4 linked regions of the Saccharomyces cerevisiae S288C genome follow. The protein of the gene in region 4 purifies or fractionates together with the protein of the main gene of each other region. This does not show direct contact. Each region holds a gene or a part of one and is shown on either strand. Other genes may lie near its edges.

Region 1 (6,645 bases), on a different chromosome or scaffold from region 4:
AATCCATCCGAGGGGCAATTGTAGTGAGGACAAAAGTTCATTGAGTTCTAGATTATTATTTTGTCACACGTCTCCCTTGAATTTGTAAAATATTTTATAAGTGGAAGTAAAGTATAGAAAATGGCAGAAAAAAAAGATCCCACCGTAGCACACCAATATCTTTCCCACTTTCTTTTGAACAGGTAACAGATAACGAAGATGGTAAAAAGATAAAGGGAAGAACGGTCAGCACTTTCGCCTATGTTTTTCACGCCTTGACTCTTTAATCGCAGCTAAGGGCGAAATTCTTTATGCACACTGGTCTGTTGAAACAAGCATGCATGTTTTTTTCACCTTAGGGGCGCAGGAAACATTGTGCATAGCCAAGATCTCAGCAAACTCGAAGAAACCCAGTCTCTAATACATTCATTTCGAGTTCAAATTTTTGACTCATTCGAAGAGAAATCACAGGAACATCGTTAAAGTAAAAAGTGTTTTATTTTTATGGTATCTACCTATTCAAAATAACAAAAATTATTTAAAATTATGTGTAAAAATATATTAACGAAAAGAAAAGAATCAAACACTTACCTAGTAAAACCGAAAATTTTGAAAAAAGCCATATAGATATTATAAAAAATCAGAGATTTCTTATAACAACATAGCAGCAGCAGCTAGAGCACCGGCACCCATACCGACAGCGGCCTTAGCAGCACCATTTTCAGTTTGTTGAGAGATAGTTTCGGTGCTGGATGGAGAAACAGTTTCAACGGTGGAAGATGGGGCAGCAGTGGTGGTAGCTTCGGTGGTAGCAGTGGTAGTAGCTTGGATTTGACCGTCAGTGATTTGAGAAATGGCGGCAGCGGATTCAGCGGCAACAAAGTTAGCCAAAGCGACGAAAGCAACGGAAGCGACAGTAGAGAATTGCATTTTTTTTCTTGTTAGTGTGTAGCGAATGTGATGAAGTTATTTATTCTTGATTATGAGAAGAAAAGAACAAAGATAGGAAAAGGGATGGCAAGAAGAGAATTGAAAATGATGAACAAGAAGCCTGATTTATATACGATTATTGTATCTTATTTTTCAATTTTTTCGTTGTTTTTTTTTTAGAACGTTACATTTCTCTGTTTGGCTTTTGGTCTACGGTTCCCCAAATGCAGTTAAAGAATGGCAATAATACGGAAAGGGAAATGCAAGAAAGAGGAAAAAGGACGGTTCCAGATTTTCTAATGATAAGCGCGAAATTTCCGCAATTTCTAGGGTAGTGGGATGTTCCTATTTACGTTTACCATTCTTGAGAGTGAAAAACTTATTATATGGCCCGTTCCGGCCGTGGTACTGGGTGTTATGGCCCCAAAACGCGCATATTCCACGCCTTTTGGGCCTTGGCCGGGCCCCGCGGAGTGCCTGTGGAATTGCCCTTCGGAGCTAAGGCAGTTCAGTTCGTGTTGTTTACCTCTGCCGAAACTGAGGCCGCCCAGGCCCACTTTCGCTTCTCTTTGGCGTGTTGTGGCGGCGATCGCTGCATTGTTTCAAGTGCCCTGGAGACGTAAAACAGGCGTGGGAAAAGCAATCTTCTGCATAGGTTGCTGCTGCCTAGCATATCAGTGGCGCAGAACGCGGTATTTTGCATACAAGATTATGACAGGAACATGCTTCATGACAGACTTGGCGCCCTAACATCCGCATCGGTGGAGGCAATGTAATACTGTGATACTATGTGGTTGTTTGCCATTAGTTGCACATTGCAATAAAAGGGTCGTCAAAAAAAGACGAGCAGCATAGTATCTGTAGCATTATTAATATGTCTAGGGGATGGCGTACGTTATGCTTCTCAGACGGTTTTCTAAGAAAAGCTTTGTCCCTTGCGGTGACCGCACAAAATAAAAAGGGGAGGCTAGCAATTCACTCATAGCACCTTGTCTATTAGAAATGGAATGCATACTGATTGTCCTTGCGCTTAATTGTCTATTGTAAATTGTAATCGCATGGTCATCTTTTAGTAGCATCTCTATTACTTCGTATTATGGTCAGTAAATGATTGACCAAGTGCAAGCGGAATCTTTCGTTGCTGGACTCAATTGGTAATGTCTATATACACTATTGCAAAGTAGTTAAGCCTTGCCATTTTCATTTCTCTCTTACTTTTTAGACCAAATATTTAGCTATTTACTTTGACCGATTTTGCTCATTTTTCGGGTCATGGCATAATGAATAAAAACAACAATTGGTTAACAAAACGATAAAGGGCAATTGACGCTAAGAATAGAAACTTTTAAATACCGTTTGTACGTATGTAAACATAGGTTCCAGATGCATGCTCGAAATACATAATAAACTTACACGGGCGGCACGACTTTACTTAGTACGTTTTTCACTACGAGAGATTCCAGGAAAAGGGGATTCTCAAACTCATTAACCTCCTCACACTTAATCTTCGCAAGTTTCTCTAGCATTTCGTCCACCAAGTTGGGGTCGCTACCGTACAATAAGGAACTATCCATGGAGGAACGCTGAACCAATTCCAAGTGCATGGGGAAGTACCACCTGGACGCCTCTTTGACATGTGAAGGTGACACAAACATCTTGCCGCTATGTAGACCAATTAATCTAGACAATAACACCACGTCGTCCAATGAATTTGTATATACCCCGCCGGCTTTGGCGTTATACGTCAATCTATGCGTTCGCAAATGGACCATGATATCGAGAATATACCGTCTTACAGTGGACCCCACAAATACATCGTTCAGATTTGCCTCTTCATTTAATATGATCGACCTCTTGCTCTCTGGCTCCTGCTTCTCTTCCTCAGCCATACCAATGCTATTATTGGCTCTTGTATTAATGCTAGACTCAGTTGAACTTTCAAAATCCAAATATGGGGGTGCACATGCAAACCAGAATTTGTGTTTGAGCCAAGCGCCCATACGGAAAGACGTGGGCAGGAAGATGCGAGTTTTGGGAGCTGGTTTACCTGCTTCATCCCCATCCTTAGCGGCGCCTGAAGGCTGCACGGGATTATTCCAATGAACCACTCCTATAAATATACGTGTTGACTGTGCCTTCTCAATCGCCACTGTGCAATCTCTCATAATTTTTACTAATTTCGCTTGGTCTGGCTGTAAAAGAGAATTTATGTCTGGAATGATAACAATCTCAAATTCCTTAACATGTGTAGTTGCTAACGAGTCCAAGCTTGCAGTTGTTGAGTTCAGAACCGTGACCTTTATTCCTCCGCCCGGATAAGCGTCATTGATTGCCCTCTTCAGTTGTATATCACAAGTACTTGGCATCGAAGAGGCTAATTTTTCCTTTGAGACGCTGTCTCTATACATACATAGAAAGCTCTTTTTAGCTGTAACAGAAAACTTCAAACATGTCTGAAAATCCGGCAGATTATGATCGCCCATTCCTATTTTTGCCACATCCAATCAATAATTTTGCAGCTCCGATTTTGCAGGTGTTGCTGTTCAATGGAAGTAATCGTTGTTATAAAGGAGCACATCACCAAGTCCTCTAAGGCTTAAAGGTTTGTCGTTATGCACGTAAAAGATGAAATTTTTTTATGGCTAGATGAGCTCATCGCGATTTGAAGAAAAAGAGTAAAGAAAACAATGCTAAGAAACTACAATAAGAGCAAGTTGCATATCATCGAATAATACTAGTGGGGTTTTCTAGTTCGTTACAGCCAACAACAGACAAAAGATATGGCTAAACTTGTACATGATGTTCAGAAAAAGCAGCATAGAGAACGTTCTCAGCTAACTAGCCGTTCCAGATATGGGTTTTTAGAAAAGCATAAAGACTATGTGAAACGTGCTCAAGACTTCCACAGGAAGCAGTCCACTTTGAAAGTCCTCAGAGAAAAAGCAAAAGAGAGAAATCCAGATGAATACTACCATGCTATGCATTCAAGGAAGACAGATGCAAAAGGACTGCTGATCAGCTCACGTCACGGTGACGAAGAAGACGAATCGCTTTCCATGGATCAAGTTAAATTACTCAAAACGCAAGATAGTAATTATGTGAGGACGCTGAGGCAAATAGAGCTGAAAAAGCTGGAGAAAGGAGCGAAACAGTTGATGTTCAAAAGCAGTGGGAATCATACAATATTCGTCGATTCCCGAGAGAAGATGAACGAATTCACCCCAGAGAAGTTTTTCAATACCACCTCCGAGATGGTGAATAGATCTGAAAATAGATTAACTAAGGACCAATTAGCCCAAGATATTTCAAACAATAGGAACGCTTCATCAATAATGCCAAAGGAATCATTAGACAAAAAGAAATTGAAAAAGTTCAAGCAAGTCAAGCAGCACTTACAGAGGGAAACTCAATTGAAACAGGTCCAACAAAGAATGGATGCTCAAAGAGAATTGTTGAAGAAGGGTTCCAAGAAAAAAATCGTAGACTCTTCAGGAAAAATTTCATTTAAATGGAAGAAACAACGGAAACGTTAGATTTTTACCATCTATATAGTATATATAAGTGAATCAGGCAGACGTTCCGTAATCCTTCTTTTCATGTTTTATAGGATTACGTTTATAAAAAGTATTCACTTTTCTTAAGTGTCTTTTGCGCCATCAAAAAAAAAAGGATTTTGAGGCACCGGAAAAAAAAGAACCCCTCTCCGAATGGGAGTATTTAGGACAAGATTTGTAAAGTGCTCCCTTTTTGAGCAATACTACAGATCTATAATGGGGAACAAACTCATACACGATGGACAAGTATTTGAATTCATTTGTTGACCACCTTTCAGAGTGGTCATCTCGTGCCTTTAGGAACAATTCATCAAGCGCTAACCAAAGTGCGTCGAACAAGGAATTAGAACAAGTTTTTGAACAGATCAATGCTATAGTTGAAAACCACAATAACAAATTAACCACTGCCTTTGATAAGATATCATATCGCGTTGCTCACAAGATTACACACTTGGTGGAAAGCCATTCTTTAGTATTCAACTACGCCACTTTAGTTCTCATCGCAAGTGCTTTGGTCGTTATTGGCTCATTTACGTCTATTTCTTCTATTCCATTTACAGCTCTACCTCCTACGAGAGAACACTCATTGTTTGATCCTACAGATTTTGATGTGGACCACGACTGTCATGTTATCTACCGCGAGAATGACGAAGATAAAAAGAAAAAGAAGAAAAGCAAGAGGTTTTTCGATATGATGGATGAAAAACATGCGATTATACTGCCCTTAACTAGTGGCTGTACTTTACTCGCTCTCTATTTTGTGATCAAGAAACTACACCTAAACTGGCTAAAATATGTGGTGAAAATTTTGAATTTTAATATAACACTGCTAAATATCCCAGCTGGCACATTTGTCTACTCCTACTTTCTCAACTCACTTTTCAGAAACCTATCACATTTAGCTTCTTGGAATCCCCTGGTTGTTTTACCAAGGTATCGTGTAACAATAGCTGATGATAACGAAGACCTGAACAAGATAGGCGGGTTTGTTACCAATTTGAATTACAAAGATGGATTGACCAACTCAGTTGTTCACAAGAAAACATTGGATGAGATTGAAAAAGATCATTGGATGAAGCATTTTTACAGAAGAGAATTAGTTGAACCGAAGGATATTAAATCGAAGAGGCAGATCAGCAACATGTATTTGAATAGCGCATTAATTGTTTCGTTCGTTCTGTCCATCGTTTCTACCGTATATTTCTATTTATCACCCAATGATTGGTTAATATCCAATGCTGTCAGTATGAATATGGCTATTTGGTCCATTGCTCAATTAAAATTGAAGAATTTAAAATCAGGGGCCCTAATCCTAATTGCTCTATTTTTTTACGACATTTGCTTTGTCTTTGGTACCGATGTAATGGTTACAGTAGCTACTAACCTTGATATTCCCGTAAAACTAAGCTTACCAGTCAAGTTTAATACAGCTCAAAACAACTTCAATTTTTCAATACTTGGTCTGGGTGATATTGCCTTGCCTGGTATGTTTATTGCGATGTGCTACAAATATGACATCTGGAAGTGGCACCTTGATCATGATGACACTGAATTCCACTTTTTGAACTGGTCATACGTTGGAAAATATTTTATTACTGCTATGGTTAGTTACGTTGCTTCTTTGGTATCTGCCATGGTCTCCTTGTCCATTTTCAATACTGCTCAACCGGCTTTATTATACATTGTTCCTTCCTTGTTGATTAGTACTATTTTGGTAGCTTGCTGGAACAAGGATTTTAAGCAGTTTTGGAATTTTCAGTATGATACGATTGAAGTGGATAAAAGTTTAAAAAAAGCGATAGAAAAAAAGGAGAACTCTATAACTTATTCGACCTTCATCCTATCAGAATACTATAATGATGCCGACAAGTATGCCTTGCTTGGTGATGATGTAAACGAAAATTTTGACGATGATGAAGAATTCGTGCAAGAGGAAGATCTCAGTGACAGCTCTGAGGAAGAGCTTTCTGAAGAAGATCTCTTGGATGACGAATCTTCTTGAGCTCCAAAAGAAACGACAGCTCTTTTTACCCCTCCAGGGTTGTATTTATCTTCTAATCTAGGACAATGTTTGTAAAACCCTCTTTCTTTCCTTCGTGTCTCATGTCTCTCCATTTATTAATGTTCTTTTAAACTATGTTTTCTCACGCCTGTCCATTCGGTTCTCGTACGTTAAATTTTT
Region 2 (7,875 bases), on a different chromosome or scaffold from region 4:
GGAATCCCTACGGTGAAGCAGTTTGACAAGTGCGAAGAACTTAAGGGCCAGTCTGCATGGACCACCCAAGGGATTTGGAAATGTCTTGTCCCAAGTAAGGCTATCCCCCCTCTACCACAATTGGACTTCCTCTTACCTCTGGAGGAGATCAAATCTGACAAGTCGCACTCTCATGGGTTGTTCTTCAATGATTTCAACCTCTTTTTGAAGTGGAGGTCGCACATGAATAGACTACAAAAACAAAGAATCAAGACTAGGAGCACTGCCGTAGAGCCTCTGGCTAGAACTCCAGAAGACCTCATGTTGAATTGGGACGACTTGCATCTGGGCAACGATGCTGAATATGCTTCTGCAGATGGATCCAAGAAAATTGTTGGAAGGGCACAGTCCATTAGTACCACGAAGGATTCCAATGATGCAAAACCCAGCACCGTCAAAACTGAAAAAATCTACTTTGACGATGGCACGGTAGACATTACTACCACCACTACCTCCAAGGGTTCCAGTCCCCAGGTGAAGCATAAAGTGGTGAGTGTTGACGAAGACAATTAGGACATATTTTCGTTTCCTTTTTTTACTCATATCTTACACAATATGCCTTGTATATATCGCACGATTATGACCTTGCGCGTGTGGAAAACATGCGACTGCTAAGGGGAGATCCACACACACACACACAAAAGATCAATACACATTTTTGACAATATATAGCATCAATAAAATACATATAAGCGATTCACATAGTTCAATATGAAGGTTGTTAAGGAATTTAGTGTCTGTGGTGGCAGATTGATCAAGTTGTCACATAACTCGAACTCTACCAAGACCAGCATGAACGTCAATATCTATTTGCCTAAGCACTATTACGCCCAAGATTTTCCAAGAAATAAGCGTATCCCAACTGTGTTTTACCTTTCTGGCTTGACGTGCACGCCAGACAACGCCTCTGAGAAGGCTTTTTGGCAGTTTCAAGCTGACAAGTACGGATTTGCAATAGTCTTTCCGGATACGTCCCCACGTGGTGACGAAGTAGCCAATGATCCTGAGGGCTCCTGGGATTTTGGACAGGGCGCCGGATTCTATCTAAATGCCACCCAAGAACCATACGCCCAACATTACCAGATGTACGACTACATTCACAAAGAACTCCCACAAACATTAGATTCTCATTTTAACAAGAACGGTGACGTAAAGCTGGACTTCTTGGACAATGTTGCCATCACAGGCCATTCGATGGGGGGATATGGTGCAATTTGTGGGTATTTGAAGGGCTATTCCGGAAAGAGATACAAATCTTGTTCTGCCTTCGCCCCTATCGTGAACCCTTCCAACGTTCCCTGGGGTCAAAAAGCGTTTAAAGGTTATCTGGGCGAAGAAAAAGCCCAGTGGGAAGCGTACGACCCATGTTTATTAATCAAGAATATTAGACATGTGGGCGACGACAGAATTTTGATCCATGTAGGAGACTCCGATCCCTTTTTGGAAGAACACTTGAAACCGGAATTACTACTTGAGGCGGTGAAAGCCACTTCATGGCAGGACTACGTGGAAATAAAAAAAGTTCACGGCTTTGATCACTCCTATTACTTTGTCAGCACTTTCGTTCCAGAACATGCTGAATTTCATGCGCGAAACTTGGGTTTGATTTGAGAGGCATCGCATTTCATTATGGTAATTTTTATGACTTTTCTATGTACATATTTAGTGAAATATACGTCCGTAGAAAAAAATGGCCAAACATAGTTATCCTTTCAAAGGTTATTCGCAGTAGATTTTATGTCACCTGTAACTTCCATTACTATTGCTATTATGTGGTTAATTGGCATCACATCCGACGAATTTAATAATATGAAATGAAAAAAACGAAAAATAAAAAAATTTCACCTCATCTCATCGATCACTCTGGTCCTGTTGTGGTATCGTTCTTGAAAGTGTATATCAGCCTACATTAGTGCGACAATGACAATGGCAACAACCGCAATGAATGTTAGCGTACCTCCACCAGATGAAGAAGAACAGTTACTAGCCAAATTTGTATTCGGTGATACAACAGATTTACAAGAAAATCTCGCTAAATTTAATGCCGATTTCATTTTCAATGAACAAGAAATGGATGTTGAAGACCAGGAGGATGAGGGATCTGAATCAGATAACAGTGAAGAAGATGAAGCGCAGAACGGTGAATTAGACCATGTTAACAACGATCAGTTATTTTTTGTGGACGATGGTGGTAACGAAGATAGTCAAGATAAGAATGAAGATACCATGGACGTGGATGACGAAGATGACTCTTCAAGCGATGATTATTCTGAGGACTCTGAAGAAGCTGCTTGGATAGATTCGGATGATGAAAAAATTAAAGTGCCTATTCTTGTTACCAATAAGACAAAGAAATTAAGAACCTCCTATAACGAGTCCAAAATCAACGGTGTTCATTACATCAACAGATTGAGATCTCAGTTTGAAAAGATATATCCAAGGCCCAAATGGGTGGACGATGAATCTGATTCTGAATTAGATGACGAAGAAGACGATGAAGAAGAAGGCTCTAATAATGTTATTAATGGAGATATTAATGCTCTAACGAAGATCCTGTCTACTACTTACAATTATAAAGACACTTTATCGAATTCCAAACTATTACCCCCTAAGAAACTTGACATTGTGCGTCTTAAAGATGCAAATGCATCACACCCGTCTCATTCCGCCATACAATCTCTTTCATTCCATCCTTCTAAGCCTCTACTGTTAACGGGTGGGTATGATAAGACCTTAAGAATATATCATATTGACGGGAAAACGAACCATCTAGTGACAAGTTTGCACCTGGTTGGGTCTCCAATACAAACATGTACTTTCTATACTTCTCTATCAAACCAAAATCAACAAAATATATTCACCGCCGGTAGAAGAAGATATATGCATTCCTGGGACTTATCCTTAGAAAATTTAACTCATTCACAGACTGCCAAAATCGAAAAATTTTCCAGATTGTATGGACATGAGTCCACTCAAAGATCATTTGAGAATTTCAAAGTTGCACATTTGCAGAATTCACAAACAAATTCTGTCCATGGAATTGTCCTTTTACAGGGTAATAATGGTTGGATTAACATTTTACATTCCACTTCCGGACTATGGTTAATGGGCTGCAAGATAGAAGGTGTGATAACGGATTTCTGTATCGATTATCAACCTATTTCACGTGGTAAGTTTAGGACCATTTTAATTGCTGTAAACGCGTATGGTGAAGTGTGGGAATTTGACTTGAATAAGAATGGCCATGTTATAAGAAGATGGAAAGACCAAGGTGGCGTGGGTATAACAAAAATCCAAGTTGGTGGTGGGACAACAACTACTTGTCCGGCTCTTCAAATAAGTAAGATAAAGCAAAATAGGTGGCTTGCGGTAGGTAGTGAGAGTGGATTTGTTAATCTTTACGATAGAAATAATGCTATGACCTCGTCGACCCCTACACCTGTCGCCGCCTTGGACCAGCTAACAACTACCATTTCTAATCTACAATTTTCCCCTGATGGTCAAATACTGTGCATGGCATCCCGTGCAGTCAAGGATGCTTTGAGACTAGTTCATCTGCCTTCTTGTAGCGTGTTCAGCAACTGGCCTACCAGCGGGACGCCTTTGGGTAAAGTTACCAGTGTCGCATTTTCGCCATCTGGTGGGCTACTGGCCGTGGGTAACGAACAAGGTAAAGTGAGGCTCTGGAAATTAAACCACTACTAAATTTCCATTTATAGACAAACTTAGATATTAAAAGCAATGTACAAATACATACACAAAATATCACTGTAAAAAAATTGCGAAGAAACTTGAAATTGAATATGATTCTGCCCACTTTTTTCTTGCTGTCATTTATAGTCAGAAATGAAAAATTGTCCGAGAAATTAAATATAATATATGGAAAAAAAGGGGACATTGAGTTTAAAGAATTTGATTAAAATGTCCTCTCAATATCCTCTGTAAGAGTTATCTAAATCTCACTTTACTTATTCATCTCGCTGGGAATTATGCAGGCGGTAGAGAGAAGGCCCTCGTTACTCTTTGACGAATATCAAAATTCTGTTACTAAGCCTAATGAGACGAAGAATAAAGAAGCCAGGGTCTTGTCAGAGAATGACGGTGATGTCTCCCCATCTGTTTTGAAACAGAAGGAAATATCAGTCGATGATATGGATATGATTTCTTTGCCCACGGAATTTGACAGGCAAATGGTTTTAGGTTCACCTATGTTTTTCGATCTTGAAGACGAAGAAAACAAAATTGATCCACTTCCTTCAGTTTCCCATCATTATGGAAATGGAGAAAGTGACAGCTTTGTCTCATCGTACACGCCCTCAAATCTGAAAACGGGTGAAGAAACTAAAGATCTTTTCATTAATCCGTTTGAATTGGTTTCTCAAATGAGAAAAAGATACATTGCTGCTTCCAAACAAGATGGCATTTCAAACATAAAAAATGACACTGAAAAGTGGTTTTTATACCCAAAACCACTGCCAAAGTTTTGGAGATTTGAAGACGATAAACGATTCCAAGATCCCTCTGACTCTGACTTAAATGACGATGGAGACAGTACTGGGACCGGAGCCGCTACACCGCACCGCCATGGCTACTATTACCCAAGTTACTTTACCGATCACTACTACTACTACACAAAATCTGGTTTGAAAGGAAAAGGAAATATAAAAGTACCATACACCGGTGAATATTTCGATTTAGAGGATTACAAAAAACAATACATTTACCATTTAAGTAATCAGGAAAATACGCAAAACCCACTTTCACCTTATTCTAGTAAGGAGGAGTCACTAGAGGAAGAATTTTTAACAGATGTGCCTACGTTTCAAGAATTTAGGGATGATTTTGCATACATAATAGAGTTAATCCAATCTCATAAATTCAACGAGGTTTCACGAAAGCGATTATCTTATTTATTAGATAAATTTGAATTGTTTCAGTACCTAAACTCTAAGAAAGAAATTTTAGCTAATAAAAATGTTCCCTACAGAGATTTTTATAATTCTCGTAAGGTAGATCGAGACTTGTCTTTAAGTGGTTGTATTTCTCAACGTCAATTGAGTGAATATATATGGGAGAAAATAAATTTAGAACCTGAAAGGATAGTTTATCAAGACCCGGAAACGTCAAGGAAACTCAGTTTGAGAGACATTTTTCAGTTTGGTTGTTCTTCTAATGACCAACCCATTGCGATTGGGTTGAAATTGATTGATGATGAATTCTTGGATTGGTATAGAAATATTTACCTAATAGATTACCATCTAACTCCTAACAAAGTAGCAAAGTTGGTCGGCAAAGAAATGAGGTTTTACCTATTAGCCAAAGTGTTTCTGGAGTTTGATAATTTCATTGAAGGTGAGTACCTAGCAGAAATTTTCATAAAATACGTTATTCATATCCTCGAAAAATCAAAGTACCAATTGGCCCAAGTATCAGTTAATTTTCAATTCTATTCCAGTGGTGAAGACTGGTACAAGAAATTTTCTCAATGGTTGCTACGATGGAAGCTAGTATCGTATAATATCCGCTGGAATATACAAATTGCCAGGATTTTTCCCAAACTATTCAAGGAAAATGTCGTGTCAAATTTCCAGGAGTTTTTGGATCTTATCTTCAATCCTTTATTCACTCTGGAAAAGGAGCAGTTACCAATAGATTCATCTGTAAATACTGATATCATTGGTCTGCAGTTTTTTTTATCAAATGTGTGTTCTATGGATCTGGTCATTAAAGAGTCGGATGAATATTACTGGAAAGAATTTACTGATATGAATTGTAAGCCAAAATTTTGGACAGCACAGGGTGACAATCCAACTGTTGCGCATTACATGTATTATATTTATAAAAGTTTAGCGAAAGTTAATTTTCTGCGGTCACAAAATCTTCAAAATACAATCACCCTAAGAAATTATTGTTCTCCACTATCCAGCAGAACTTCCCAATTTGGAGTGGATTTATATTTTACAGATCAAGTTGAATCGTTAGTGTGCAACTTACTGCTTTGTAATGGTGGTCTGCTACAGGTAGAACCGCTTTGGGATACTGCAACAATGATTCAATATTTATTTTATCTCTTTCAAATACCCATTTTAGCTGCGCCATTATCATCTGTTTCATTACTGAATTCGCAAAAATCGACCTTTTTGAAGAATAAAAACGTGCTTCTAGAACATGATTATTTGAAAGACCAGGAAACAGCCAAAATCAATCCTTCTAGAGATATCACTGTGGGCGAACAAAGATCATATGAGACAAATCCTTTCATGAAAATGTTTAAGATGGGACTAAAAATTTCTTTATCATCAAAATCGATTCTTTACAATAGTTCATACACGCTAGAACCTCTCATTGAAGAATACAGTGTAGCAGCAAGTATTTACTTGCTGAACCCAACAGATTTGTGCGAGTTGTCGAGAACAAGTGTGCTATCTAGTGGCTATGAAGGTTGGTACAAGGCTCATTGGATTGGCGTTGGAGTTAAAAAGGCGCCTTACTTTGAGGAGAACGTGGGTGGGATAGATAATTGGTACGATACAGCGAAAGATACCTCGATAAAGCACAACGTTCCGATGATTAGAAGAAGATATAGAAAGGAGACATTGGATCAAGAGTGGAACTTCGTTCGGGATCACTTTGGAGTAATTAACTCCATTTGGTAGGGTAAAGTGAAATATCAACAACTTTGCATAGTAAGATATATATATTTATATAGATACCTTAAAAACTGAAAATGAAAACTTGAAAGTTAAGGAGGAGGAGAATGCGTCTTTGTTTCATGAAATATTTTTTTCATTTTCCCAACTTGGCTTGATGTCCCTGACAGACCTCATGAATTCTCTTAAACGTTTCTTGTCACGTAGTGCCCTCTTAGCGTATTGAGGGTTACCGTAGTAAAATAGTTTAAATTGGCTTTGCTTTTCATCACAGTGTTCGGGGTCTAAGTCAATCGACAAATCTAGCACAGCAACGCTACGTTGAAAATACCACTTGTTCACCACATTGTCTTTTCTGCTTCTCCAAAGTATCTCATTAGGAAATTTTTTGAACATCAAATTGAAGATTATATCAGATATACCCAGCGAGCCTTTCAAGTGTGGTAGAACGGCGAACTTATCGAGATAAACAAAGGAATTTTCCTCCGAGCCTTCATAGGTAAGAATTGCAATGCCTTCATAATCACCTATCACAATAATTGTAGCTATTTTTCCATTAATCCTTTTTATGTAGTCATGCAAATCCAAAGATCTTTTAAAGCTCTGATCGATGATGGATTTAAATTTGTTGATATCTAGTTTTGGACTATTGCTCGAGGGTTTTGCTCCTTTCTCAGGTACGTGAAACTTCTTTGGAAGCCCAATTGAGTTGAATTGAGTCAGCGTCTTATAGTCATAAGTTTTGATATGGACGCCCTTTTTGAGAACAGTTGTCACTAAAACTGCATCTGAGTTAGAAGGAGCTGCATTTACCTGTTGGGAAGGCAATTCATACCATGCGTGATCATCAAACATGTTGGCTGGTGAGTCTATCTCGCCGTCCTTTTTTTTAAACCTTGGTAAAGAAGAAGAAATTAGCGATCGGTCTGTCAATAAATTATATACTAAAGGATTTTTCCTATCTGATGATAGTGCGGCAGCTTTGACAGTTGTAATCAGTCCCGTTGCTGTAGCCGCTAGATTTGATAAAACTTTGTCCATCAATAACAGGTTTTCTAAATGATCATGGTATTCACATTCTAAGGAAGATATCTCATCTTTTTTAACGTACACCTCCATTCTGTGTAACAGGTTTTGGGAGCGTGGCTCTCGTTTGGTTAGAGTGCTTATATTGTGAGATAATGAC
Region 3 (11,330 bases), on a different chromosome or scaffold from region 4:
TAAATTCTTGTCTTTTTACATAAGAATTAGGAAAGTACAGAACAAGAGCAAATTTAATATATAATGTCCGGTGGTAAAGGTGGTAAAGCTGGTTCAGCTGCTAAAGCTTCTCAATCTAGATCTGCTAAAGCTGGTTTAACATTCCCAGTTGGTAGAGTGCACAGATTGCTAAGAAGAGGTAACTACGCCCAGAGAATTGGTTCTGGTGCTCCAGTCTATCTAACTGCTGTCTTAGAATATTTGGCTGCTGAAATTTTAGAATTGGCTGGTAATGCTGCTAGAGATAACAAAAAAACCAGAATTATTCCAAGACATTTACAATTGGCCATCAGAAATGATGATGAATTGAACAAGCTATTGGGTAATGTTACCATCGCCCAAGGTGGTGTTTTGCCAAACATTCACCAAAACTTGTTGCCAAAGAAGTCTGCCAAGACTGCCAAAGCTTCTCAAGAACTGTAAGAACTGAGTTGAAAAGAAACAAAGCAAATCAAACATTCTTGTCATTTGGGGTTTTAAAGTAGGTCATATGAGGAAGACTGGTATGTCTTTTATCTAACAGTTTTATAAATAGCGTCGTTTTATTAAAGACAGTGTATAGTATTACTATTAATAAAGAAAATAAAAAACGTATCAAGTTTACGGTTTTACTTACGGAAATGCTAACGTACTACAGCTTTGACGTTATAACTTGGATTTTTTATTCATTAGTATACATGTTATAAAGATATATTACAGCTAGGCTCTCTTTCTTTTGTTACGTCTTTGATAATACCCATTTTCATCCTTTTCATGCTTTCTCTTTTCCCTCGATCTCGCATGCTTTCTCAACTTTTTATCAGCAGAAATTTGTGGAGCGTTAACAGCCAGAATTGCCCTTTTAGATCTCCTTTCCTTTCTTCTTTCTAATACGGTCTGTTTGACAGCAGTGTATATTTTTGTAAAATCGGATACTTGCAATTTGTCTTCCAGTATTTTTAAACATTCGTTTGAAAGAGTGCGTAGTTCTTCCTGTTCTTCATCAACTGCTCTTGAGTAATATGTTTCTAAATAACCATATAGCGGCAATAATATCTTTTCCCCTTCTGCAATTACTTCGTCTTCGTCCAGAACTTGAACTAATAAGGCCAATAACTGAATACACGCCTTCTTCGACATAAAAGAATCCATACGATGTTCATCCGACCTGATAATACCACCAATTCGAGTTACCATATAATCAATGGCGGTAGTATATTTTAGATCCTCTCCAGTTTGTTTTGATACATCCATTATGAACGGCGTGCGTTGCTCCTTCCATAGGATACTGATATTAACTAATGTTTTTATTGAGACGTTCGCAAGATTCTCCGGAATAGAAGGCGCACCTAATTGGTGAAGAATTCTTGTTGCAATGGTTTGAATTTCCAGATTGGTTAATGATATCTCCAGCTTATCCTTATTGGCTATGAGTTGATGAACAAGATTTGCCGCCGATTGACGGACCCATGAGTGCGGATACAAGAGACATGTGATAATACCATCCCATATGTCTTTGAAACCATGTTTATAAACGCTCTCTGTTGCTTCCATATAAGATGAGAACGTATTTAAAGCTGAGTATACCAAATCCCACTGATGTTCTGATCCTACCGACGTATCGCTCAAAATGTACCTTATACGCTTGATGGCAAGCTCGTCTAGCTCAATAGTATGTTCAAACCCAATACTTTTCAAGTAGACCTTATAAGTTCTCAACCCAAGATTTAAAAAGGATGCATTATCAACCTGTTTTAGCCAAGCGGCTATATATTTTTCAACAATTTCAAGGTCCTTATTTTCAAGCTTTGGAAGCATGGTGGAAATCAATACTGAAGCCATCTCACGGCATCTTGGCGCATCATCATTAAAAGAAACATTAACTAGCGCCAGAAAGAAGGAAGATGATAATTTGGATAGTAAAGCAGGATTAGCCTTTGTAATAATCAAATTGATCAATTCCATTACGGACTGACGGCCGGACTCGGTAGGATACTGTAAATTGTCGACCATAAATTTGAACTGCTTTTCTAAACGACCCTTACTTTGGTCATATTCCATTAAAAATTGGTAGTAAACGCTCCTGGATACATCCCTAATTTCTTTTGAGTGGTTTGTGACCATGATTTCCCTAGTAGTATCCGCAATGTCATAGAGTTCTGGAAGCATGATATGTTTTGAAACAAGTGCTTTTAGGAAATTAAAAGCAAGGCCTTGTCTGCTTGGTTCATTTAAATCTGGTAAGACCCTCCCTAGAACATAACTCAAAGCAGTATCCTTTAATGTTGAATCTGTGTGACGTATAAAGGCAGAAAGAAACTTTAAACCCATTTGGCATAATTCGCTTGAAGTTGAAGGAGAAACCTTGATAATATTTAGTACCTTCCTCGCACAGTTTTTGAAGATTTCACTAGATTCATCGGAAAAATCTAGCCTAATTAATGTAATCAGGATACGTAAAGTACTAATTACCACACCTTCATTTTCCGAAAGTAACGAATCTCTCAAAAATGGAATAAAACCCTCTAGGTGCGAGACAGTTAAAAAGGAGCGGTGTCTCGTTATTACGTTCCTAAGTAAGTCTAAAGCAAATTTTTGTAAAGTGCTGTTCAAAAGCAAACTGTTTGAGTTGATGGTATAAGATTTCGACTCCAAATTTACCAAGAAAAAGTCTTCTTTTTCATCTACTTGGTCTTTCACTTTTTTCTTTGGTATTTGAGGGGAATTACTCATTTCTGATTCCTGGAAAAGCTGATGGCAGAACTTGAGGATACTTTCTGACTCAGAGTCACTATTATGATTTAAACCCAACAAATATCGTCTCAATAATTCACTCAGTTTGTTTTGATTTCTTAGATTAATTCTGACCATCAACAAAGCCTTCACAGGAGAGAGTAATGTTCCAAATTCTGTCAGGCTGATGTTTGAGGCGAGAATTTCACCAGCATCATAGCTTTTATTACTCTTAATTTCTTTCACTTTTGTATGATAATTCTCAGAGTCTTTTTCTTCACCAGCGAACCCAAAGATATTTTCCATTATAATCTTAACAATCATACTGGACGAGGTATCCAAATCGGAGTGTTTTAAGACTCCGTGCATACTCTTTAATATGTAGTGGACAGTGTAACTTAACACATGAATTTGAGAACCACGTTTTAATGTAGCCATTAATTCCTTTATCACAAAGACAAGATACTCAGCGCCCAAGATAATACTGATTTTACCCAAGGTTACTCTTACTGCATCTCTTAATTCTTCGGATTTACTTCTCAAAACTTGGCAAATATTTGTTAGAATACTAGGGAGGAAATTAGTAATATCATCATTTGTGAGCCCTAAAACAATATTAACTAATGCCTCCGCAATAGGCATTCTTTCAATTATAGTTTCGTCATCTCTAGTGCCAAGAATTTTCGAAAGAGTCGGATACAATTCTTGCTTAATAAAATTACTGGGTTCATCTAAGTTGGAAGGAAATTTGCTCAAAGTAAGTTTCGACTCAGCCCCATCTCTTACGATACGAAGAGTTTCTCTAAGTGGAACAGAAAGTTGAACAATTAATTGTACGGCTTGCTTCATTTGGTTAGGCTTGGTTTTCAACATAGAAATGTACCTTCTAAGAAGAGCTTTGTATTGATTCCAACTCATGTGCTGCGCCAACCCTCCGATGGCTATTTGGGTCTCATTTCCAATATTTCTGTATCTTTCATCATCCGAAAAGACATAATGTTCGATCATTGGAATTAAATAATGGGATATACTGTTATCTTTGAGTTGATGAGCATGTTCACCTAGTCTTTTAATGGCTCTCTGACGACGATGAAGCTGAATATGATTAACGTTTGTAAAAAAATCTGCTTCTTCATCACCATTGTACAGTAAAATGGCCATATCTTCGAAGTCGGTGAAATATTTCGTGTTTTTTACCATATATGATAGCACTGATACATACTCACTTTGTACCTCTTCTAGGGAGTCTCTGAGGCCAATCCTTATATTGGGTAAAAGTATATCCTTCAGCATAGAAATCGATTTTGAAGCTTCATTAAGATTAGGCTTTTCGTTAATGAAGTCAATAAACTTCATTATAGCGTGGGATGCGTTTGTTCTTAACGCAAGTTCTTCCTTATTATTGATAAAATGTAAAAAGGTGAACAACAGAGGTAACCACTCTAACTCACTGTAGGACTTATAACCATCTTCAATTAACCCCTTGAAAGTTGATAAAATTCTAGGAAAATCATATTCATGCATACGTGATGAGGAGTATGAATTCAAGTCCGCAACCAATTTCGAAATACTTTCTAATTCAGGAACTTTTCTACCGAGTTCTATGAAGAGCTCTGTCAAGGAAACCCTGAGGTTTCGCTCGTCAAATGTTTTGAACAAAGAAGATATGGTAGTGTATAGTTCTTCAATATCACTCCAAGAACAATTGTAGTTGAAAACTATCAGCTTTAATATTTTCAAAATTTTTTGGGTATCATTTTCCTGCAGTTTTTTTAGCTTTCCTTTTAATATTGATATTAATGAACTAATTAAACGACTTCTAACATGATCATCTTGAATAAATCCCATCTCAGTGATACTAACTAGCAAATTCAAAAATGTGGAAATCGAGTTTGAGTCAGAAAGTTTGACATATAGCGAAGGAAGTATTTTCAGACATGATGTGCAGATGAGAGTCACCAAATCTACGTAGTGATCATCATTTACTGGATTTCTAATAATTGAGTCCGCCGCTTCAATTATTGGGCCAATAACAGCTTCCTTAACGTGTTGGTTTGATATGGTGTCCATCAATGCAGTGGCAGTTGCAAATTCATCGTAATACAAAAACTGGTACAGAGATGGATTGTGTGCCCAATAAAGGAAAAGTCTTAGTAAAGAGGAGGGTTGTTGTAAGTTTTCATCCGAAAAATGTGAAATACGAGGCTTAACTACAACGGCGTAAATATCTTCCATAGAAGTAGACCAATCAAATGTATTTCCAACAAATTCAAAGACACTACTTAAACATTTTAGACCTTGTTGCCTTAAATTACTTGCCATCTTTCTTAAATGTACCTCCTCTGTGCTCTCAGTATCTAAGACATAGTATGCCATAGCAATTGAATAGATCAACGGCTGCAGCACTGAATTAGTATGCAAAGGAAAATTTGTTCTTAATACAGACAGAGTAGAATTTACAATGTTAACGAAACCAGTCATCCGTCTGATAGTTTTCAAGGTAGCCTTTGAGCTATTTATTTGATGGCTGTTCCCAAAAAAATAATTATAATCCAGCCTTTCACTAGCCAAACTCAAAAAATCATTAATATATGGCTTCTTAAAATTTGGCAAAACTGAAATGACAGCTATTTTGCGGCTTCTTTTCTGTCCACTAGTTGGGGGGACTTGTGCTCGACCGAAGAAAATTCTAAGGACATAAGGCATGACTACCTTTTCGTCCTCAGCCTTGATAGACTGCGACCCATTTTCGGTTAAAAAAGTCGTAATCTCGTCCTTGAATAAGGTGTCATCTAGTAGATTTTTCAAATTATCTCTATATTTATTCAACGTTGGATTTTTGTATGCAAGAAGTGCGTCCAACGCAAGCTTCTGAACGTCTGTATTACGGCTACCCAACAGTACCATCAGATGATCGTGCAATTCTGTTGCACTATAAACATTCTTTATATTTTTGAACTTGCTTAAAGTCTTTAAAAACACGTTTCTATCAACTTCTGTCCATGAACCAGTAATAACACGTTCATTTTCCATATCCTCTTCATCTTTGTAAGTCTTGAAGTCATTATAAACAAAAGGTGCGATGTCGACGAAGTGATTTTCAGCAACTTGAGGAATCGATAGCATAACTTTTAGAGCCTGATTTCTAATTAAAATTGGGTAGGTGGTGTTCCCCCTTCTTTCAATAGTAGTAGATATAATGCTCGTATTTTGAGTAGAATACTTTGACCAAATATGTGAGAACGTATCAATAGTGTCCCTTAACCTCACTACACTCGAATCCCACAGAACTTTGTTTGCACCATCTTCAAGAAGAGGCTGGTAGTAATCCAAATTTTGATTTTCATCAGGAAGTTTAATGAATGATAGCACAAGTTTCCAAACGAGGGCTTCATCTTTTGTGTAAACATTAGGAAGAGTGTCAAAAACACCAGTCCAAACTGGAGAGAATCTAACGGTAAGAAGGCCAAATAAGTATTTGAGAAAGAAAGAGGATACTAGCTTGTCTGTTTTGGTTTTTCCGAATTCGGCACCAACATTCTTGATTCTAATGGTTAAATCTCTGGCATTTTGTAGTGTAAGAGGTATTTCCTCGATAACCATACATGAAGAAAGGAGGTCAGGTACTTGCATACCCTGCAAAATCATTAATGTCTTCATTAATTCTAAAGTTTCATAACGAATCTTCCCATCAGGCAACATAAAATTATCTGTCAAGCTAAGGAGTAGACTTGGATAGTGTGACATTAGTCCTTTTAAGCTTTCTGAAGGATGAAGATTACTCACTAACTTGTTCCATCCTCTTAAAAAGTTTAAACTTTCTTTATAGTTTTCGTAATTATCCAGAATAGTCTTTAATAGATTATTCCCTGAAGCGTCGTCTTCTTTACGATATATTTTTAAGAGTGTACCGACCATATCTTTCGTAAAATTATCTGGTGATGCAAAAGTTGAAAAGATACGTTCAAGCAATGGGATAATAATTTCTGTATTCTGTAATTTCGAATATTTAAAAATTATAGCTCGCCAATATATTTCGAAAAGGTCATTCGAATCATTAATTTCTGCTGTGACAAAAAAATCTCTGATAGATAAAATAAATTCTTCTGGGAAATTTACTTCCCGTACTTTCTGCAGTTCAGGCTTATCATCTACTTCTAGAAAAAAAAGTGCAATTTTTTTTCCTTGTGATTGCCAATTTTTCTTTAAAAATAACTGTAGGAATTTTAATCCATTGAATGAAAATACTCTTTCATAGCTTAGCCTTAAAGCAAATTGAAAGAATTCAAGGAAACAGTCAGATATATTTGTTAAAGCGTAGTTAAAAAGTTTTTGGTGGAATAATGTTAAAGTTTTCACGTCACTGTTACGAATAAATAAAGCAAATAGGAAAGCCACTTTATCCTGTGAAAGCGAAGCACAATTTTCACTTTGACTCATTATTCTTTCAATTAGGATAGTAATTTTATTCCAATCAGGAATTTTTCTACCACTTTCCGAGAAGACAATTGTTGTCAATACTTTTAATATTCTATCGATATTGGTGGCATCGAGAGAATCGTTAAAATCCTGATACATAACTTCATAGACTGGAAGTAAACTTTCGATTGAGGCGTACTTACTAATGTTCATCCAAATATCTGAGAGCAATGAAACAGATCTTTCCGGGGATGATTTGGTCAAAGCTTCATGCAAAAGAACGCTCATGATAGCTTTAGCTTTCGAATGCAGAGTTTCTTGCGTTGACGTCATGGATTCTGTGAATAATATCAGAAGCCCTTCGTAGAGGTTAGTTTGCTCATCATCTCCCTCTAACTTTTCAAAAACTGATCTAACAAACTCGCGCAAGTTAGAAACAGGACACTTTCTTACTAAAAAAGATAATGCTTCTGCTGAAAATCTTGAAAGATATTCCTTAGAATGAGACAATAGTGGAATTAAAAGATCACATGTGAGTACCAGTTTTTTAACCAAAAATTTCGAGAGATACTTGAAAATATAAGCCAAACAGTTGAAACCCCACTCAAAAACATTAGATGACTCAAATTCTATAGCAGCGTCTAACAGATTTATTAAAGTTTTGATAGCTTCTTCATAAAATTTAAGAAAATCTGGACCTAAATCATGACAAAATTGAGCCAAGAGGTCCAGAAGCGGTTGCAAAGAAAACTCATCGTGAAAGTTAATGAATGAAACCAAAGAATTAAAAATCTTTTTATCATGATATAGTATTTGGGGTAATGTTTGAACATCATGCTCAATTTCCGCTGCAAACTCCGTAAATTTGGCACTTAAATTAATTTCTTTCCACTGATCAAAGGAAGCGAGAAAATGCGACGACTCGACATAATCATGTACCCTTTTTTCCAAATTTCTAGCCGGTTCAATCTTCAAATCGTCAATCCTAGCCTTGAAGGAAGAATATCTATATCGCTTAGACGATTTAGTAGTTTGTCTTTGTTTAGCCATACTTTCAATGAAATATGTGTAACTGATACTAGAAATATACCAATACGGCCAACAACGTAAAACTGGATGTAAACAGGAAAGAATATGATCTTTAATTTACAACCTACACTACCTGTTTAATCGGTGGTTTTTACGCTACCAAATTTAATAATGCAACTTTTCAATGCTCATCGGTAAAAATTTTCGGAAAGACATAAACTCAAAATTTTTTCTTTACAAAAGTCCGGGTGACATTACATACATACGCCTTCAAAACACTACCTTAGAAAATGAAGCGAGAGGTACATTTCATTAGCTTTAAATGAGCCAGGAAGAAATACACTGCAGCCGATATAACTCATATAGCATACTTTTAACGGGTGATAAGTCGTTACGAAGAAGGCCAAGTTCTATGCCAATCTTTTAATAAAACATAAACGTGATGCTTTTACCACGTATTCCATTGACTTTACGTACTCTTATTACTGTCCAAAAAATAACGACAACTGCAGGACTCGAACCTGCGCGGGCAAAGCCCAAAAGATTTCTAATCTTTCGCCTTAACCACTCGGCCAAGTTGCCTCGTTTTACATGATATCATAACTTACCAGAATAAATAAACCGTCATTATGAATTATCTATAAATATCAAACATGTATGAAACTGGGAATTCTGATAAATTTTGTCATAACTGTTGGGATTCCTGAGAAATGGGGGAATGTTGAGATAATTGTTGGGATTCCATTGTTGATAAAGGCTATAATATTAGGTATACAGAATATACTAGAAGTTCTCCTCAAGGATATAGGAATCCTCAAAATGGAATCTATATTTCTACATACTAATATTACGATTATTCCTCATTCCGTTTTATATGTTTCATTATCCTATTACATTATCAATCCTTGCACTTCAGCTTCCTCTAACTTCGATGACAGCTTCTCATAACTTATGTCATCATCTTAACACCGTATATGATAATATATTGATAATATAACTATTAGTTGATAGACGATAGTGGATTTTTATTCCAACATACCACCCATAATGTAATAGATCTAATGAATCCATTTGTTTGTTAATAGTTTGAATGTTTTTATCGGAAGAGGTTTGGTCATTACGTCTGCAATATTCTTTTTGGTTTCGATATAGCATACGTGCAGATGATTTCCTGATACTTCATCTCTCAGTCTCATTGCTTTAGTACCAAAAAATCTGTTTCTAAATTTCTCTTCATTATTGGATATAATTATACTGATTGTAGATTTACTGTCGGTTAGTAATCCTTTGGTAATTGGTTTCTTGTCGAGTTCTTGTATCAGGTAACTTAGATTATTTAATAATGGGACAGATTCACTTATTGCGTGTATTTCTGCTTCCGTGGTTGAAGTACATGTTAATGAAGCCTTGGTGGACTTTCCTCCAATTACTTTTCCATTAAGTAAATATATGTTGCCAATTTGTGATTTATAATACGGTTGGTTACCATACGAGGCATCGCTTATAACAACTAATTTATTTGTTGGCTTAACAGGTTTGCTTTTGTGCCATATTAATTGCTTATCTCTCGTATTCCATATGAACTGTATCAATTCATATGTCATATCTAACACTTGCTTGGACGGAAATAGTATATGTTGTGCAAGTGTGTTGATGTAGTATAATAGGTCAAATCTAAATTTATATCCAACATATGATGCTAGACCTATCAGCTTTTGCATTTCATGTACCTTCATTTTGTAATCATCTTCTTCTAGCTCTAGTTCTTGCTGGTCTATATATAGACCTGGTTGACCTGGAGCGCTAAGTTTCCTTCCTTTTGGGTTCAAAGGTACGTTTAGTTTGGGTATTTTTTCAGTTAATGAGTTTTCCATACCCAATTTCATGTATTTACCTCTTTGGTATTTGATTTCCAAGCCAAGAATGTCATATTGAATTTCCTCATCACTTTCGCCTAGATTTATAATCTTGGTGTCGTATTGCATCTTAAGCTTGTCTATAATTCTTTTGTTTGAATTTAGATTTTTGCTAAACAATACCATATCATCTACGAATAAACAAATTGTCACTTGACTGTTTTTAAATACGCATGACCATCCACGAACTTCTTCCATACCACATTGTTTTATCAGGTATGATTTGATAGTTTCGTACCAGTTCGCTCCACTTTGTTTCAATCCATAAAGTGATTTCTTCAAACGTATCAACTTATCATTCATTCCTAAATGTGGTGGAGGTCTTATGTATAATTCTTCTTTGATGTCTGCATACAAATATGCCGAAGATATGTCTAATTGTGTAATATGGTAGTTATTGTCTAATGCAAGTGACAGGGATGTCATTAATGCATAGTGATGTACGGTATTGGATTGCATGCCTGAGTCGTAAGTGTCAGGATGCTGAATATCACCTCTTGCAACAAATCTAGCTTTATGAGTACCGTCACGTTTCCTGTTGAAGATAAACATTGAATTTATTACTCTTTTAGGGTCTATTTCTTTTCTGTCATAATATTTGTCAGTGTCCCAAGTTTTCATCTTCAACAGTTGATTGACTTCTTTGTGGTATGCCTCGATATATTTTTCTTTTTCTTTAATATCTTTATTATAGGTGATTGCCTCATCGTATCGTAAGGTTGTTCGTATTGGTTTGATTGATTTTACTGCTTTTACAGCTGCAATCAGGTGAATTCGTTTCTTCGATCTCGGAGGTTCTAAACTACGCATATTCTTAGTATTCCATGTGTCTCGTGATACCTTAATTTCAGTTTCATTATCTTCTAATGATCTTTTCTTACTGTTGATAGTAGTATAGGCATTAGAGTCACCAATACCACCCAAACTGGAATTAGTTTGACGAGAATTGATCGGTGGAAGTTCCTTAAAGGAGTCTGATAATTCGGTAGGAGGTTCTGGAGGCAGATCGGGAAGTGGAAGATCAGCAATTATAGATTCCTCTGTATTCTCCTTAGGACAGGTATCTGACGTTTTGATAGGAACGACGTGGTGTAGTGAATTACTTTCTGATGAGGAAGTATCGATCGAAGGTGAACGGTGTATAATCCTTTTCTCAGTCTCCTGTTCGCTTGTCTGCGGAACAGTTTTATTATTGGTACCACCCGTACTGGATAT
Region 4 (7,117 bases):
GAAAGAGCAAAGGAGACTTAAACGTGAGAGAGACCTGGCCTCTGGGAAAAGACACAGGGCAGTAAAGAGCAATGAAGATGCAGGAACAGCAGTGGTTGCGACAAATATCGAGTCTAAAGAATCGTTTGGTAAGAAAGTGGAGGATTTCAAGGAGAAAACCGTGGTTGGCCGTTCTATACAATCTTTAAAGAACAAATTGTGGGATGAAAGTGAAAACCCCTTAATTGTTGTCATGAGGAAAATAACCAACAAAGTGGGCGGTTTCTTTGCAGAAACAGAATCCTCCCGTGTTTACAGTCAATTTAAGCTAATGGACCCAACCTTTTCGAACGAAAGCTTCACCAGACACTTAAGAGAATACATTGTTCCCGAGATTCTCGAAGCGTATGTGAAAGGCGATGTCAAAGTTCTCAAAAAATGGTTCAGCGAGGCGCCATTCAATGTTTACGCCGCCCAACAGAAAATCTTCAAAGAACAGGATGTTTACGCCGATGGCCGTATCCTAGATATCAGGGGCGTTGAAATAGTGAGTGCAAAGTTATTGGCTCCCCAAGACATCCCAGTCTTGGTGGTCGGGTGTAGAGCACAAGAAATCAACCTTTACAGGAAAAAGAAAACTGGCGAGATTGCGGCTGGTGACGAAGCTAATATCTTGATGAGCTCTTATGCCATGGTTTTCACCAGAGACCCAGAGCAAATCGACGATGACGAAACAGAAGGGTGGAAGATCTTGGAGTTTGTGCGCGGGGGTTCTAGACAATTCACCTGATTGGTTTCGATGTACTCTTTTGTTTTCTTTTCCTTTTCCTTCCTATTCCGCTTGTAAATAACTCCGTTATGTCTCACCTTCGATCCCCACTTTTTCTTTTGGAATACTGCATCAAATAGGAAGAGAGAAAAAAGGAAATCATATCCCAATATATTTGAACATACGACACGATATACCTTATATAGTATCATCTGTACTAATAGTACTATAACTAATACTTCTTGACGGACAAGCTTCGCAACTCGTTCGCAATGACCAAGTTTGGCTTTCGGGAAGCAAAGTGGAAAAAAATGAAAAATAAACTAATTGAAGTGGTAAAAAATAAGCTGTGTGTGTGCATATACATCGTAAGTGCGTTGGCTGTTCTGTGGAAAAGGGAGACACTTTTTATATCAGGTGCAAAGGCTTCGTACCAGCGTTGAAAAACTAAAACAATATTGAAAAATGAGTGAAGAAGGTCCTCAAGTTAAAATAAGAGAAGCTAGTAAAGATAACGTCGACTTTATACTATCCAATGTGGATTTGGCTATGGCCAATTCTCTCCGTAGAGTCATGATAGCAGAGATTCCCACTTTAGCCATTGATTCAGTCGAAGTCGAAACAAATACTACGGTTTTGGCCGATGAATTTATTGCACACAGATTAGGTTTAATACCTCTACAAAGTATGGATATCGAACAACTAGAATACAGTCGTGATTGTTTTTGTGAGGACCACTGTGATAAGTGTTCAGTGGTGTTAACATTGCAAGCGTTCGGCGAAAGCGAAAGTACTACAAACGTCTACAGCAAGGACTTGGTAATTGTGTCTAATCTCATGGGCCGTAATATTGGGCATCCTATTATACAAGATAAAGAAGGTAACGGTGTTCTTATTTGTAAATTGAGAAAAGGTCAAGAATTGAAACTGACATGCGTTGCGAAAAAGGGTATAGCCAAAGAGCACGCCAAGTGGGGTCCAGCAGCAGCCATAGAGTTCGAGTATGATCCTTGGAATAAGCTCAAACATACCGATTACTGGTATGAACAGGATTCTGCCAAAGAATGGCCTCAGTCTAAAAATTGTGAATACGAAGATCCTCCAAACGAAGGTGACCCCTTCGATTATAAGGCTCAGGCAGATACATTTTATATGAATGTAGAATCTGTGGGGTCTATTCCCGTTGATCAAGTTGTCGTCAGAGGTATCGATACATTACAGAAAAAGGTTGCCTCAATATTGTTAGCTCTGACACAGATGGATCAAGACAAAGTTAATTTTGCATCGGGTGATAACAACACCGCTTCAAATATGCTGGGAAGTAACGAAGACGTAATGATGACGGGCGCTGAGCAAGATCCTTACTCCAATGCATCTCAAATGGGTAATACTGGATCAGGAGGGTATGATAATGCTTGGTAGTTCTCAAGTGGGCGTAATAGAGGAAAAAAAACAAGTGAACGAACCGAAAATAATAAGAGAAAAAAAGCTTTATATGCATGTATGTATCATTATGATTAGTATTATAAGTATTATAATCTAAAGTACGAAGCAAACAAAAAAGAAAAAAGAAAATGAAAAAATGAAAGGAAGGGCTAACCTTGCTTTTCATTCCATCTACAGCAGTCTTCAAACTTAACTAGGTTACCACCAAATATATCTAAGGAACTACCGAATGTCAAATCTACTTTTCCGTGACTTAGTTCGTCTACTAATTTCAAATCATCAACACTTTTGGCCCCACCAGCATAAACGATTTTCAAATCATCGTAATCTTTGGTCCATTCGAAAAGCTTAGAAACCAATAATTCATCGATACCACCACACAAACCTTCAACGTCTGCAGCGTGAATTAGAAACTCATTTGTATATTTCCTCAATTCTCTGAAAGTGTCAGCATTAAGCTCAAGATCAGTTAGAGTTTGCCATTTGTTCATGGCCACAATCCAACGACCGTCCTGGGTTTTTCTACAGCTTAAGTCTACAACAATGCGGTCTTTCCCACATAGTTCTGTCAGTCTTTCTAACCTTTTTAATTGAAAATGACCCTCTTTTGTAAATAGCCAACTCGTAACAATTACTTTACTGGCCCATTTTAACCATTCCAAACAGTTCGTATCATTAATTCCTCCGCCCACTTGTAGAAATTGTGGTGACTCCTGGAGTGCCTCGCGTGCAGCGTCGTCATTGTTAGGTCCCAACTTAATAACATGACATCCTTGGACATCTCTGTCTTTGTAAAGTTTAGCGTAATATGAAGAAGGATGTTGTGATACAAAGTTAGTTTTTGGAACGTCCTCCTTTTTGCTCGTTAACGTTCCACCTACAATCTGTTTAACCTCTCCATTATGCAGGTCTATACAACCAATAAACTTCGTCATTTTTTTCTAGTATATACCCCCAGCCTTCTTATGCGCAGTTTCGAAGATATTGTGAATTTGCAGGCGAGGATTCTCAAATTATTCCGTATGACTCTGCACACTAGACATGGCTCAATCTTGGCAATGGACCCTGTGCTGAATTTTCGTCATTCGTCTCATGCGACCGTTCCGTTCCTAGAAAAATTTTGAGCGATGAGATGAGTATACATTAACGATGGCAGGAACAGTTATAACAATATTGAGAGTACAAATGACCCAAAAGCCATAAAAAGATGACCCTTGATGATGACGACTATATAAAACAAATGGAGCTTCAAAGAAAAGCTTTTGAAAGTCAGTTCGGATCTTTAGAGTCCATGGGGTTCGAAGATAAAACAAAAAATATACGAACTGAAGTAGATACCAGAGACAGTTCAGGTGATGAAATTGACAATTCCGATCATGGTAGTGATTTCAAGGATGGTACTATAGAAAGTTCTAATTCTTCTGATGAAGATAGCGGTAACGAAACCGCGGAAGAAAATAATCAAGATTCCAAACCGAAAACTCAACCAAAGGTCATTAGATTCAACGGGCCTAGTGACGTTTATGTTCCTCCAAGTAAGAAGACACAGAAACTTTTGAGAAGCGGCAAAACTTTAACTCAAATAAACAAAAAATTGGAGAGTACTGAAGCCAAGGAAGAAAAAGAAGATGAGACTTTGGAGGCGGAAAATTTACAAAACGACCTGGAGTTGCAGCAATTTCTGAGAGAGTCTCACTTATTGAGCGCTTTCAATAACGGTGGAAGTGGTTCTACAAACAGTGGTGTATCGTTGACTCTACAGAGTATGGGTGGTGGAAATGATGATGGCATAGTATACCAGGATGATCAAGTTATTGGGAAGGCCAGATCGCGTACACTCGAAATGAGACTGAATAGACTCTCAAGGGTGAATGGTCATCAGGACAAAATAAATAAGCTGGAAAAAGTACCCATGCATATTAGAAGAGGAATGATCGACAAGCACGTCAAGAGAATCAAAAAATACGAACAAGAAGCTGCAGAAGGTGGAATTGTTCTATCCAAAGTGAAAAAGGGACAATTCAGAAAAATTGAATCTACATACAAGAAAGATATCGAGAGGCGTATCGGGGGAAGCATTAAGGCCAGGGATAAAGAAAAAGCTACCAAAAGGGAACGTGGTTTGAAGATCAGTAGTGTAGGCAGATCGACGAGGAATGGACTGATTGTATCCAAAAGAGATATTGCTCGTATCAGTGGAGGCGAGAGGAGTGGTAAATTTAATGGCAAAAAGAAATCCCGTCGCTAGATCAATTGTGATTCCATGAACTCACAAACAACTCGCCTAAGAAACTGTCTAAATTTTTATGCACTAAATAGACCACAAATGAGAACGTAAAGAGAAGCTTTTATCATTTTATTTCTCTTCTCCTTAGGAGGAAATACAAATATCTTTTCTACATTTAATTCAATCTGACAGTCAAAGTTATACATATACATTATACCGATTACCAAGTTTTCAGACTAGAACCCATACATTATTTTACAAACCCAGACAGTACACTATACAAAAACCCAAGCAATTGCAATCAATTTTTTTGCACGAAAATTTTATTCGAAATCGCCAACCCGCTAGGGAGAAAAAGAAGGAATTCTCAAAGGAGAGGCTGGACAGAGAGGTCGTCCCAGTCTACCGCCTACGAGTAATGTTGGATACTAAGCAGTTCCCAGCCTGAACGCTCTGCTGGATGGGTGGAGATTTCCCTCCAGGCGGGAACACTCCTGGTGGATTCTGCTCTGGAAACTATGCTGTGCATGCTACAGGTTTCAATAATCTTTCATACTTGACAAAAGTAGATATACATATTTTAAAAGATTGAGTTACTATTGATAAATCTACTATTTGTCATAAACTCACCAAGAAACCACAAAGTTATTGAACAATGGGTATGTTTTTATTATATCGCATAATTATGGCAAATGTTATGAAGGATTCCTCTATGACTTAGATGTTTTGAATCGGTACATTTTATTTTCAGTATCCTTCTGCATATTACAAGGCAACATAGCAGCGGACAAGAAAGCTTTTTTGATGTTCGTCTTCGAAACGATTACTATCAGGGTCTTTTAAATGCTATATCGGGACTTATTGAAATTGACATATTACACTTATGAATGACGTTGGCTATCAAAGTATGAGAATAAGCCTTTCCTACTATTTTGTATCATGACAACAGGGTTCTGTCGCTTTGAATGCGGCCTTTTACTTTGCCATATTTTGATAATGAAAAAACTTTCGAGAAATATTTACTAACAGGATCGAGAATTTTTTTCCTCATTTAAACAGGTAGAGTTATTCGTAACCAAAGAAAGGGTGCTGGTTCTATCTTCACCTCTCACACCAGATTAAGACAAGGTGCTGCCAAGTTGAGAACTTTGGACTATGCTGAACGTCATGGTTACATCCGTGGTATCGTTAAGCAAATTGTCCACGACTCCGGTAGAGGTGCTCCATTGGCCAAGGTTGTTTTCCGTGACCCATACAAGTACAGATTACGTGAAGAAATCTTCATTGCTAACGAAGGTGTTCACACTGGTCAATTCATTTACGCTGGTAAAAAGGCTTCTTTGAACGTCGGTAACGTCTTGCCATTGGGTTCTGTCCCAGAAGGTACCATTGTCTCCAACGTTGAAGAAAAGCCAGGTGACAGAGGTGCCCTAGCCAGAGCTTCTGGTAACTACGTTATCATCATTGGTCACAACCCAGATGAAAACAAAACCAGAGTCAGATTACCATCCGGTGCCAAGAAGGTTATCTCTTCTGACGCCAGAGGTGTCATCGGTGTCATTGCCGGTGGTGGTAGAGTTGACAAACCATTGTTGAAGGCTGGTCGTGCTTTCCACAAGTACAGATTGAAGAGAAACTCTTGGCCAAAGACCCGTGGTGTTGCCATGAATCCAGTTGATCACCCTCACGGTGGTGGTAACCATCAACATATTGGTAAGGCTTCTACTATCTCTAGAGGTGCCGTTTCTGGTCAAAAGGCTGGTTTGATTGCTGCCAGAAGAACCGGTTTACTACGTGGTTCTCAAAAGACCCAAGATTAATCTTTTTAATTTTGGTTTCTTCCTTCTGTCATATTATTTTATCAATTTTCTTAAATATTATATAATTTAATCCGAAACGTTCCTTATAAAGTGATATTTCTATGCATACTTTTTTTTCTTTGACATGAGAATAAATTCAGCCAGCTACTTCCTATCACAGAAATTTTAGTTAAACGTAAGCTTGCAGTTATGGATTCTTCTGCGAAAATACTATTTAAAAAACTATAGCATAAATTAATTGTAGGAAATACTACGAGTTCTGTGCATTCATTTAACTTTCAAAAGCAGGTCCATGTGATATAGTAACGTTCTGGCCTTTTCCCTGACAGATAATGATTCGTCTGTAATATTTTTTCTAACCAGATCGTATAATCCTACCTCCACGAGTTTTCTACATCTTTCCACCGTGGCACGTGTTACTTGTACATTTGATGTACTACCTTTTGCAGCCGGGGTGCGAACGAACTCATCGCCTTCATCATCACCCTCATCATTATCGTCATCTTCATCATCATTCGCATTGCTACTGCTATCATCGCCATCTGGCTCATCGTAGTATTTCCCCCTAGAATATCCACCAGCCACTGATTCATTATACCCGATTGTCACCGTAGATTGAGGGTTTTCTGAATCACTTGGTGAATGCCCTGGTTCCAGACCATTTTCAATTGCATATTGGGTATAATGTGAAACTGATGAATTCCAAAGTAAGTTATTGAGTACCCAGAGGCATGCCAATTTCAGATTGCTGTCATTACCATTACTTGAACTATCAGTCGTTGTTTCTACCAATATTTCACTCATAATGTTCAATATTTCGTCTTGTTCGATGACTAGCTGCTTTTTATTCTCATTGACTGCCGCTAGATTCACGAT

The links.
Region 1: the proteins of FAF1 (region 4) and UTP11 purify together in Saccharomyces cerevisiae (affinity purification with mass spectrometry, with the first as the bait; 2 studies listed by BioGRID). This does not show direct contact.
Region 2: the proteins of FAF1 (region 4) and UTP18 purify together in Saccharomyces cerevisiae (affinity purification with mass spectrometry, with the first as the bait; 2 studies listed by BioGRID). This does not show direct contact.
Region 3: the proteins of FAF1 (region 4) and UTP20 purify together in Saccharomyces cerevisiae (affinity purification with mass spectrometry; 2 studies listed by BioGRID). This does not show direct contact.

What each region holds. Positions count from the first base shown.
Region 1 is NC_001143.9:253,517-260,161, reverse strand, and holds UTP11 (rRNA-processing protein UTP11), read left to right. Parts: upstream 1-3,689; coding exon 3,690-4,442; downstream 4,443-6,645. Other genes in the region: CWP2 (Cwp2p), read right to left, coding at 631-909; YKL096C-B (uncharacterized protein), read left to right, coding at 940-1,089; YKL097C (uncharacterized protein), read left to right, coding at 1,249-1,659; MTC2 (Mtc2p), read right to left, coding at 2,319-3,392; YPF1 (aspartic endopeptidase), read left to right, coding at 4,702-6,465. UniProt on the Saccharomyces cerevisiae protein: Involved in nucleolar processing of pre-18S ribosomal RNA.
Region 2 is NC_001142.9:306,791-314,665, reverse strand, and holds UTP18 (Utp18p), read left to right. Parts: upstream 1-1,959; coding exon 1,960-3,744; downstream 3,745-7,875. Other genes in the region: MPM1 (Mpm1p), read left to right, coding at 1-552; YJL068C (S-formylglutathione hydrolase), read left to right, coding at 751-1,650; YJL070C (metallo-dependent hydrolase superfamily protein), read left to right, coding at 4,029-6,695; ARG2 (acetyl-CoA:L-glutamate N-acetyltransferase), read right to left, coding at 6,810-7,875. UniProt on the Saccharomyces cerevisiae protein: Involved in nucleolar processing of pre-18S ribosomal RNA and ribosome assembly.
Region 3 is NC_001134.8:224,526-235,855, reverse strand, and holds UTP20 (Utp20p), read right to left. Parts: upstream 8,221-11,330; coding exon 739-8,220; downstream 1-738. Other genes in the region: HTA2 (histone H2A), read left to right, coding at 64-462. UniProt on the Saccharomyces cerevisiae protein: Involved in nucleolar processing of pre-18S ribosomal RNA and ribosome assembly.
Region 4 is NC_001141.2:311,692-318,808, forward strand, and holds FAF1 (Faf1p), read left to right. Parts: upstream 1-3,401; coding exon 3,402-4,442; downstream 4,443-7,117. Other genes in the region: protein translocase subunit TIM44, read left to right, coding at 1-769; DNA-directed RNA polymerase II core subunit RPB3, read left to right, coding at 1,214-2,170; 1-(5-phosphoribosyl)-5- ((5-phosphoribosylamino)methylideneamino)imidazole-4-carboxamide isomerase HIS6, read right to left, coding at 2,344-3,129; 60S ribosomal protein uL2 RPL2B, read left to right, coding at 5,077-5,080, 5,481-6,241; glucose-induced degradation complex subunit VID28, read right to left, coding at 6,509-7,117. UniProt on the Saccharomyces cerevisiae protein: Required for pre-rRNA processing and 40S ribosomal subunit assembly. Seems to act in the processing of 35S rRNA at the A(0), A(1), and A(2) cleavage sites.